Danio rerio: one gene and its partners. The protein of the gene in region 2 binds, or shares a complex with, the protein of the main gene of each other region. Links are inferred from orthologs where the notes say so. Each region holds a gene or a part of one and is shown on either strand. Other genes may lie near its edges.

Evidence for each region.
Region 1: rnf113a (region 2) and ppil2 share a complex: the UniProt entries of both Homo sapiens proteins name them as parts of the minor spliceosome. The link is inferred for Danio rerio from reciprocal best matches to the Homo sapiens genes RNF113A and PPIL2.
Region 3: rnf113a (region 2) and crnkl1 share a complex: the UniProt entries of both Homo sapiens proteins name them as parts of the minor spliceosome. The link is inferred for Danio rerio from reciprocal best matches to the Homo sapiens genes RNF113A and CRNKL1.

What each region holds. Positions count from the first base shown.
Region 1 is NC_133180.1:13,603,010-13,606,749, forward strand, and holds part of ppil2 (RING-type E3 ubiquitin-protein ligase PPIL2), read left to right. Parts: intron 1-721; coding exon 722-773; intron 774-887; coding exon 888-979; intron 980-3,740. UniProt on the Homo sapiens protein: Has a ubiquitin-protein ligase activity acting as an E3 ubiquitin protein ligase or as an ubiquitin-ubiquitin ligase promoting elongation of ubiquitin chains on substrates.
Region 2 is NC_133178.1:30,713,018-30,716,617, reverse strand, and holds the start of rnf113a (E3 ubiquitin-protein ligase RNF113A), read left to right. Parts: upstream 1-1,171; 5' UTR 1,172-1,173; coding exon 1,174-1,279; intron 1,280-1,423; coding exon 1,424-1,500; intron 1,501-1,584; coding exon 1,585-1,683; intron 1,684-1,878; coding exon 1,879-1,986; intron 1,987-2,821; coding exon 2,822-2,931; intron 2,932-3,600. UniProt on the Homo sapiens protein: Required for pre-mRNA splicing as component of the spliceosome. As a component of the minor spliceosome, involved in the splicing of U12-type introns in pre-mRNAs. E3 ubiquitin-protein ligase that catalyzes the transfer of ubiquitin onto target proteins.
Region 3 is NC_133195.1:52,274,670-52,278,509, reverse strand, and holds the start of crnkl1 (crooked neck-like protein 1), read right to left. Parts: upstream 2,136-3,840; 5' UTR 2,085-2,135; coding exon 2,037-2,084; exon of another isoform or gene 1,581-2,036; coding exon 1,428-1,580; exon of another isoform or gene 724-1,427; intron 494-723; exon of another isoform or gene 462-493; intron 1-461. UniProt on the Homo sapiens protein: Involved in pre-mRNA splicing process. As a component of the minor spliceosome, involved in the splicing of U12-type introns in pre-mRNAs.

The DNA of each region.
Region 1 (3,740 bases), on a different chromosome or scaffold from region 2:
CTGTAAGGTGTCCTTGAGTGCTTTGAAAGGCGCCTAAAAATAAAAGGTATTATTATTATTATTATTATTACAGGTCATTTAACTCCCACACTGAAAAAATGATTTTAATTTAACAAACAAAAATAAATCACCAATGTTCGACTTAATTTAATTGGGCTACATTTAAACAAACAAAATGTATACAACTACTTGCCTTAAAAAAACTTTAGTAAATTTAAGGAATCATCTATGAATAATTTTTTTCAGGGCATTTGTGATGAATTTAATGTATTATTTCTGATCAATAAAACTACTTACCACAAAGGTTTGACATATAGTGTACATTACCATCACATATCAATACATACATAATTACAAGCTGAATAACTAGCCAGACAACTCTTAACATCACTTTTGCCAAGTTTCTTTTCTTTTTAAGCTGACGTTTCCTTGTGGTTCTTTTATCTATGTGCAATTAGACACATGAATGACCTTTTTCAGATTTCTCTCAAACTATACTAGATTCCCATGACTAAGTGGTGTTTAAAATGAGTGCCAGTCTGTTTATGTATTGTCTTATCATCGCCCAAGCACGTCCCGAATGAATCAGTCAATTTATTCTAAGTAATTAAACACAATTAAACTTTTCCTGGGTGTGATTAAAGTATAATTGAAAATGTAGGTGTGTCTGAGAGCCAGTTTCACAGATATAGTCACTAACTCTCTCTCTTTCTGTTTTTAGAAGCTGGAGGCTAAATCCCTTATCAAGCTTAACTTCAGCAAAAACAATGAAGGTAAATATGTTTGTGTGTGCGCTCTTGATCCTCTTACCTGGCCTGCGTCAACAGCAATGTGTGTTAATGATGAGAGATAATGGTTAAAGTCCTCTTTTTTCCCCTGTACTTTAGGAAAGTACCACTGTCCTGTGCTCTACACCGTCTTCACAAACAACTCCCACATCGTTGCTAACAAAGTCACAGGGAATGTTTTCTCTAATGAGGTAAAACAGCTACATTTTATTTGTTGTATCATATTTTTATGCAGCAGAATGCATATAATTTTTACACATGGAGTTTTTTTTTTGTTGTTTTTTTTTGTTCAGCAGTCAAGAATTATTATTATTAGTATTAATATTAATAATTAATATTATATATATATATTTTTTTTACTTTTTACCCATTACTCTGCATTTACCCATTACCCATTGCTCTGGACTAGTTTCGACAAAAATTAAAAATCACAAATGCAATAAAATAAAAATATATAATGCATATATTTTGAAAAAAAGGTTTTTATTGCATTTTTTATAGAAGTTCAACAGCATCCTCAAAATGAAAACAGTAAATTATTGCAATAGCAAAATTAATTATAGAAATATTTATCATTATTCAAATTGCTTTTTACATTTCAGCTATTATGTTTATTTTTTTATGATGTCTAAAACATCTAGTGTTTTTTCTACTTTCATATAACAAAAATATAAATTTGAAAAGGAAAATACAGTGATCAGTGATTGTTTACATTCAAAACAGGGCCATAAAATTAGTCAATTTGACTCTCGCACTATACATATGAATCCCTTATACCTATCTATCACACTATCTATCAAAAGTCTTGTCCATTCCAGTTGTAAGAGCAATAAATAATAACTTGACTTCTAGTTGATCATTTGGAAGAAAGTAGATTTTTCAGATGAATCATCTGTTGAACTGTATCCCAATCATCACAAATGCTACAGAGGACATTACCAGCATTAGGTATCAAGACATTTGTGCTGCCTGTTAAATTACAAACCACAGGAGAGGGTAAATCCTTCAGCAAGACAGCACTCCATCTCAGGTTCTTGAAAGCAAAGAAGGTCAAGGTGCTTGTTACGATCCTTGATGGCAATTTGTCTAGGGCAGGCGTGTCCAAACTACGGCCCGCGGGCCATCTGCGGCCCTCAATCAGTTTTGTGGCGGCCCGCGAGGCTTTTTATAAACATCAATAGAATCTGGCCCGCTATACAGAAATGAACGTAATTCAATAAATAACCACCGGGTGTCGCTATTACATGCATTCAATTAAGCAGCCCTTCTTGTTATGATCTATCTATCTATCTATCTATCTATCTATCTATCTATCTATCTATCTATCTATCTATCTATCTATCTATCTGTCTGTCTGTCTGTCTGTCTGTCTGTCTGTCTGTCTGTCTGTCTGTCTGTCTGTCTGTCTGTCTGTCTGTCTGTCTGTCTGTCTGTCTGTCTGTCTGTCTGTCTGTCTGTCTACACACAGTTGAAGTCTGAATTATTAGCCCCTCTTTATTTCTTCTTTTTAAATATTTCCCAAATGATGTTTAACAGAGCAAGGACATTTTTACAGTATGTCTGATAATATTTTTTCTTTTGGAGAAAGACTTTTGTTTTATTTCGGCTAAAATAAAAAGCGGTTTAAATTTTTTTATGAACCATTTTAAGGTCAAAATTATTAGCCCCTTAAGTCTTCAGAACAAACCATTGTTATAAAAATAACTTGCCTAATTACCTTAACTTGACTAGTTAACTTGATTAACCTAGTGAAGCCTTTAAATGTCACTTTAAGCTGTATAGAAGTGTCTTAAAAATATCTAGTTAAATATTATTTAAATATTATTATTTATATAAAATAAATCAGTTATTAGAAATGAGTTACTAAAACTAATATGTTTAGAAATGTGTGGAAAAAAATCTTCTCTCCGTTAAACAGAAATTGGGGAAAAAAATAAACGGGGGCTAATAATTTAGGGGGGCTAACAATTCTGACTTCAACTGTATTTTATATATATATATATATATATATATATATATATATATATATATATATATATATATATATATATATATATATATATATATATACACACACACACATATACACGTGTCTGTGTGATGTATGTAAAATTTGGCCCACGACAACGTTTGTTTTTTTGCATCTGGCCCTCGGCCCAAAAAGTTTGGACACCCCTGGTCTAGGGTATTAAAAGGAGTAACATAAAGATGACCAAAGTATAAACTGATGTTGAAGAATGGCAAGAGAAAACACCAAACAACAAATTAGCACCGCAAAAGATTTATCGCTCCCACATTATTTACAAACAATAAGATAAAGTTGAAAAGAACCAAGACAAATAGGAGAGGGAACTGAAGTTTGCGCATGGAAATCAAAGAAATAAATATAACAAAAACATTCCCTTAATCTCCTCCCCAATCCACTAAATAGAAAACAACAATATGAAAAGAAAAGTCTTCAGCGCAAAGCGCCCTGAACTTACTCTAACTAATAAATAAAAATACAAAATTAGCGCACTTCGCTAACTAGTGTGTCTATACATTAATAATCATGCGTGCAAAAATGTATGTCACGTGACTTACTATGTTGTTCCAGATCTCCCTTGTCAAGTCACAGAAGGTTTTTGAATGTAGCAATAGCGGGCTAGAGATGTAGAAAACACTCGTCAAAACTCAAACAAATCTCACTCAAAGTCATCAGTTAATCTCACTCAAAGTCAACATCAATAAATCTCAATCAAAGTACACATCAGTAGCAGCGACAACGCACACGGACACCACCAAACAGACAACACGCCAAAACAACAACAGCTGATTTCTCCCCGTTGCCGCTTCCGTTTTTAAAAGGCTCTGCAACGAACGCGATTGGTAGAGAGAGAAGTCATCATCACACGGTTGATTAGGATTGGCAGTCCTGTCAGCCAATAGTGCTCCAAAGTAGGCGGTACCTGA
Region 2 (3,600 bases):
GAGAGAAAAAACACAAACGATAAAAAAAATAATCAACAATTAGGAGCACCTCATGCAAGTTAAGCAGTTACTGTGTGAAAATGGTAAATAAGACGTTATTTAAGATAAGGTGGATTTAAATAAGCAGACAAAATCATGCTAACAGATTCAAACTGAAAATTCAGCGTCTTCACATAGATCTGGATCAGTAAACAAACACCCCTTAAACGAGTCTCGTGAAGTTAGCTGCTAGCAGTCTTAGCTTTCTCGGTTAGCTTCGTGCAAACAAACACTTTTATTCTCCACATAATGATTAAACAAACTACAACTTCAGCATCAGATCACGTTAGTGTAGCATCAACAAAAAGAGACGCATCTAATAACTAATATCAGTGCACTCTTTAATACACAAAAATAAAGCAAAGCTCAGTCGTGGTTACGGTCAGCTCTGCTAATTCACCAACTCTCTCATGATGATCATATCCGAGATCGCCTACATTTCCACGGACGGCCTCCTGCAGTCAATTACCTCAGTTTTTCATTCGGCTCCAACGAAATCTCCGATTTTCGGGCCAAAATCCTCTTGCGTGTTTCTGTGGAAGACCTTCGTGCATGAATTTCTTTAATTCACTCGGTATTTTTGTGTGTATTTCGGTCCACACAATACCCAACGTGTGTTCTCACCCAGTTGAACGAGTCGTTCCTTTCTTAAAATGGCGCGAGGCCGTAAACCGCTGCGGTGTTTCACGACACATTTACGTCTAGTGGTACATTCACGATAGGGGCGTGGCCAGTGTGGAATTTGTACTGTAAAATATTATTTATTGTTATACAGTGTCACAAAACTTATGCTATGTTGATGTACGTATCCACAGTATCCTAACTAGACTTTACCTTTATAATGGGAAAAAATTCACTCTAAATCATAATTTTACTTTAAGTACACCATAAAATACCTTAAAACGTCTTTATCCTTAATTTTGCTCAATGCATGCATCCAAATATTGTCTGAATATTGCTAGTTACTGATTAATAATAATAGTAAAGATATGTACATTATCAATTGTTAAATGGGAATATATTCATATCAAATACAACAGCAGTAAACCATTCCCATTCTACGTTTCTTCCCAAACACAAGAGGCGCTGTAACCAAAAAATGACTTCATCGTTTGTTTTTATACGTAGTTAAAGATGGCGGAGTCCGAGGAGCCGAAAAAACCCACCTGCACATTTATTTTTAAGAAATCAAACAAGAAATTTTCCGCACGGAAAAGAAATGCAAGTGACAGCGACAAAGGTACGTTGTGCTTCTTTCTTCAGTGTCTCAATCGACAGCGAGTTTGACTTGAGAAACTATAATCCCTACAACAAGCCGTCTGTTTAATTAATGTTTATGCTCAATACATGTCTGCAGTTCAGTGTTTTGTTTCTTTATCATCAGAAAAAAGCAGCGGCGATGAGGGCAGTGCAGTGGTCAGAAAGAAGAAATCTGCCGCTGTGAACCCCATGATTCAGAAAGTATGTCCGTATTTCATGTGTTTTATGTAACTAGCCGCTGTTAAACTGATGTCATCATTATTATATTTATTATTCGTTTTATAGACGAAGAAAGTGGAGAGGGAAGCTGTCTCATCGAGTGAAAGTGAAGAAGAGAAGGAAGAAAAGAGCGTGACTGTCGCTTACAAGTCCACTCGCTCAGCGGTGAGTCTGACTGACCCAACATTTGTACAGCTTCATGATTTATGCTACAGCAAATTATGAATATAAACGCTTGATGGTGCCTAATAATTCATGACCACGTATGACTTTACATTTCTATTAACGTCTGACAGTTTTTGCGCTGTCTCATTGAAACATTAAAGGCTGTAATTGAGTGTATTTGACTATGTGTTGCAGAAACCAGAGGGGCCGGATGACATGGGGGCCACTGCTGTCTATGAGCTGGACACAGAGAGGGACAAAGATGCTCAGGCCATCTTTGAGCGCAGTCAGAAAATCCAAGAGGTATGCGGGTGATTGGAAATAACTGGCTGCATCATTGTAAAGTCAGGTTTATGTATGTTATGTACAGATTCAAAGTACCTTTACAGTTCTAGATTTAGATAACATTAAACTCAGCATTTTCAATTGTATTTACACATATTTCAAGTAGACAACAGCTCTACAGAAGGTGATATAGTAGCGTGTCATGTCATGTCAGTTCAGTTATTTAGATACCTCACTCAGTGCTTTCAAGCACAGCAGAATCAATTCATTTTAGAAAATAAATAGCCTTTATAATAGGCCTGGGCGATTTGGCCTCAAATCTAAATCTTGATTAACTAAACATTTTAACCCGATTACAACTAATGATTGATTATTTCATTTGTTTTTGCCCTCATAGTTAACTGACAGGTTTCGTAAAGTGAGAGATGTTTGAAAAGGGTGCATTACTTGATTTTAAAATAATTGAAGGAAACGCAAACTATCTACTATCTATGATTATTTATTGAACATCAGCGTTGAACAACTGAAATGAAAACACACATTGCCTAAAACCAACAGTCTTCTTTTTTTCGTTGCTCTCCGCGCTGCCCACTCTTGTCATCACTATCAAGCTGACCAACCGCAGAGCTTGCGCTACGTATCGTCAAGTAGTGACATTTTTTGAGAGGTGCGCGTCAGCCACGGCGAGGAGTATGCGATTGCTCAAAGTCTGCGCTCAATGCAGAAGAATAAACCAGCATCTAAGGAGCGGGGTCATTTCATGTCATGATATTTGATTGTTGATATTGTTAAGATGGCCAGAATATACACAATCTCTTAATCATATGGCTGCGTGTTTGTGTGTAATTTATAGGAGCTGACTGGTAAAGAAGATGATAAGATTTATCGTGGGATCAACAACTATCACAAATTCATTAAACCCAAAGATTCCACTATGGGCAATGCCTCCTCTGGCATGGTCAGGTGAGTCAGTGTTGTTACGAGTTTTTCTTTCTCTTGTTTCCTCTCCCTCTTTCCTGCACTCTCTCGGTCTGAATTATTTCCAGGTGCAGCGGATTACGGCAGATTGTGATTGGTGCTTGGATTGGCGGCTGTATTTAAGAGGCCTTTGTTTATCTTCTGAACACAAATGAAAATGTTTTAGATTAAATCTGACATCTCTCTCATCCTCCATGGACAGTGAGATTTCAAAGATGTTCAAAAGTCCAGAAACCAAAAACATTGCATGGGACTTTAGTGTTCTGATGTGTAATCATGTAGAGCTCCCAAAACACTTGTAAAAAACTGTAAATACATGAAAGAATACTTTATTTTTTGTATACATGACAGGTCAGGGTGCGCGTTTACTAGGCATGGGCCGGTATAAGATTCTGACGGTATGATAACCTTGGATAAAAATATCAGAGTTTCACAGTATTGTGATTACTGCTCAAAAATATTCTTTTAAAATGTCTGGGTAAAAAAAAAACTATTATTGTTCCCATTGAACACAATATATTTTATTTTAAGAAGCATATTTTGGAACAGTAAACATGACAGGCTAAAGAATTTATTGAAGACAGCAGAAGTCAATAGTTTCGAAAACACATATTTCTTTAAAAAAAAATGAAAAAGACATTCATCTTTCTCTTC
Region 3 (3,840 bases), on a different chromosome or scaffold from region 2:
TATTGAAAAATAAATCAAACATTGACATATTTTGTTTTTCTGTGATAAATAATGCAAAATGAATATAGGTCCATCAGATGCCTTAACTCTATTTGGGAAGTGTTTATTAATTCAGACTGATTGCAATAAAGGATTGAATCATGCATAAAAAAATAACAAAAAATTACAAGTATTGTTACTTTATGAATTTGTCAAACAGCAAACAGGTACAGGAATTGCAAAAAAATCAAATGTAAATAAAACACTGCATCTTCTTTATTGTAAAAATTATTTTAAAAATGTATCTTTATTAAAGGTACAAATGGTCTAATTTCTTGTGCCTGTGTAACAGGGTTAAAATAATGTTTAATTGTCTTTCACCAAAATGGGTTATTTTGTTTATTTTGTGGCTGTTGAGAGACCTCTTGTGGCAACAGTGTGTAATTGTTTCTTTCACCTTTCACCTGCAAAACCCCGCCTACAGCAGAAAATGGTTGCAGAATGCAGAAAGGCGGTAGGTAAAATGTGCTCCAGCTAAATGTGACAAATTTTGTATTTTAACACATATTAATAACACATACAAGCCCAATATGAACATTAAGTGATGTTTTAGATCAAATCTGTCGAGTGATTGCCGTGTGTGACAAACTTTGTGTGGTTTAATTTGCTCATGCTAGGTGTAGCTGGAATGATGACATTAATATGTGCAAGGGTGATTTCTTACTATTTGTTTGGTTTTTTTAGATGCATGTTTAAATGCATACTGTTGCCAGATGATGTATATTTCTGTTACAGGTATGTTAACCTTTTGTAAATAAATAATGTTTTGTTAAAATGACTTTGTGGCAACACAGCAGAAAATGGTTGCTGAATGCAGAAAGGCGATGCATGTTTAAATGCATACTGTTGCCAGAGGATGTATATTTCTGTTACAGAATAAACAACGCAGAACGCAGTTCTCTGTGTCCGCCTGAGTGATTTGCGTCTTCAGGAAGAGAAGCGTTACACCTGGATGCTTTATACGTTCTTGAAATGTTCATACAGCGGCAGTCCATAAAACACAGGCAGACTTCCACTTTATATACATATATAAACTGTCTTCTGGTCAACTATAAACCCAACAAGACATTGCATATCCTCTGAGTTTTCTGAATATGCACTGTGATAATGCCCATGTTTTCTAGAGGTTTACCATAATAAAATAATACATTTAAACCATAGCGATATCATCTTTTATAATCTACACACCATATCAATACCATATTTTCTGAACATCATGATAGCACTGCGCACATTCTATAAGCAATTGTGACACTACTGTATATTTTTGAGGCATATGCCATGACAGAACCAAGCTTTCAGTACATGCACAGTAATTTAGTACTACTTTATGACATATGCATATAGTGACACCATGGTATACTACATGGTGATACAACATTTCATACCTTTCTCTTTTTCAGTTTGTAGTCATTGAGCTCTTCTTTATCGGTGATCTTCTGTTTGGGTGGCGGTGGCAGCAGCTCGAGCTCTCTCTCTTTGGCCTCTCTGAGCAGCTGCTCGGCGGTGATCTGCACCTCTGCAGGGGCTTTATTCTTCACCTGAACACAAACACAAAACCATTACAAAACAAGACAATCTTTAACCCATCTGGTTATAGTTCTATACATTATACAGTTGTTATTTTCAGAGTGGCACAAGTTCACGTTGTTTACAAGCTAATGCTAACTCACAGCTTTATTCTTCACATGAGCATTAATACAAAACCATTACAAAGCAAGACAACCTTTAACTCAACTGATTACATGTATACACATTATACATCAGTTAACTAATTATAAAGTAACGTTAGCAGAACTACATGTTGTTTACATGCTAATGCTAACTTACAGGGGTTTATTCTTCACCTGAACACAAACACAAATACATTATAAAAAAATAAGCTTAACTCCACTAACCACATTTATATACAGTAGTTAATTATTAAGTAACGTCAGCACGACTTCACGTTGTTTACATGCTAATGCTAACTCACAAAAACATCATATAGGTTTTACCTTCGCCACTTTCGGGATTCTCTGTTTGCCCGCCGCGGTGGACGCCATGATTATTACGCTCCTGACACTTTATTAAAAATAAATTAGACGTATGTTCTTGTGTTTTAGATTTCGAAAGCCCGCTAAAACCTGTAAGGTTAGCGACGTTTCAGTGCCGTGTGTGTCGCGCCTGCCGTGACGCGCTGTGACCTTTGCCTGCATCTACGTCACGGAGCATCTCACCATGGTGACAGGACGCTTGCTAGCGGTTAACGTTATCAATAAATAAAAGGTCAGCAGTTTGAGGCTGTTAAAACTCAGTTTTTTATTGTTATACACCAAAAATACCTGTTTAATTGTTTTATGTTGCTTGTGTATCGACTTTTTGTCAATGTAAGTGAATGCTTGTTGTTTTAAAATATTTTTGCCTATTATTGGCTAGTGACTGAGTTCAAAACTCAACATTTTACATTAATAACGTTAACTTACCTCAATTAAATACCTTAAACGTTTGTTATTTATTTGTTTACTGTTAGATCTGTTTATTGTTAAACCGAATTTTCTTCAATGTGTGTGAATGTTTATTTGTTTTTATAAAGGTTAGTGACGAGGCTCAAAGTAAAGTTACATGTAACGTTATGTTATTTAACTTTATTCGCTCACTGTTAGATTTTTTTATAGTCCGACCTATCTTTAATGTAAGTGAATGTCCATTTTTATTAATTTGTTAATTATGTATTGCTTGTTATTGTGTATGAAATAACCGTAAAGAGTTGTTATTTATTTGTTTACCAAAATAAGTCTGTGCGTGCACACAGACGAAAAACATATAACGTACAATTGAAGTCAGAATTATTAGCCCCCTTTGATTTTTTTTCTTTTTTAAATATTTCCCAAATGATGTTTAACAGAGCAAGGAAATTTTCACATTATGTCTGATAATATTTTGTCTTCTGGAAAAAGTCTTATTTGTTTTATTTTGGCTAGAATAAAAGCAGTTTTTATAAAATAAATAAAAAAATAAAATAAAATTTAAGGTCAATATTATTAGCCCCATGAAGCTATATTTTTGTCTACAGATCATTACACAATAACTTGCCTAATTACCCTGACCTGCCTAGTTAACCTAATTAACCTAATTAAGTCTTTAAATGTCACTTTAAGCTGTATAGTAGTATCTTGAAAATTATCTAATAAAATATTATTTACCTGTCATCATGATTAATTAAATAAATCAGTTATTAGAAATGAGTTAGCAAAAACTATTATGTTTAGAAATGTGTTGAAAAGAAATCTGCTCTCCGTTAAACAGAAATTAGGGAAAAAATAAACAAGGGGGCTAATAATTCAACTGACTTCAACTGTATATTACGTCTACAGTTGTGCTCGAATGTTTACATACCACTTATATAATCTGTTAAATGTGAATAATTTTAACAAAAGTAGCAACATAATACAAAATACATGGTAATTTGTAATAAGTATTGTACCATACACTCCTCAAAAATCTTTATTTTATATTCATGTTTTTAATAGGAAGCTGCAGTATTATATTTGTGCAAATACATTAGTCAGTACTGAAGCCAAATCTGGAGCTTATCAAACAAAACAACTTACAATAACGGCCCAAAAACTAGAAAAGCCAAAAAATTTTATAGGAAAATATTAAATACAATTTTTTTTTTCAAAAGAGGAAAAATCAAGAGAAGCAAAAACAAAAAAGGAAAATTTTGTTGAAATTTTATAGGTTGTAATTTACTTTAGCTAAATTTAGCTTGATTTTATTGTATTATCTTTCTATTTCTAAATATGTTTAGTGACTAAA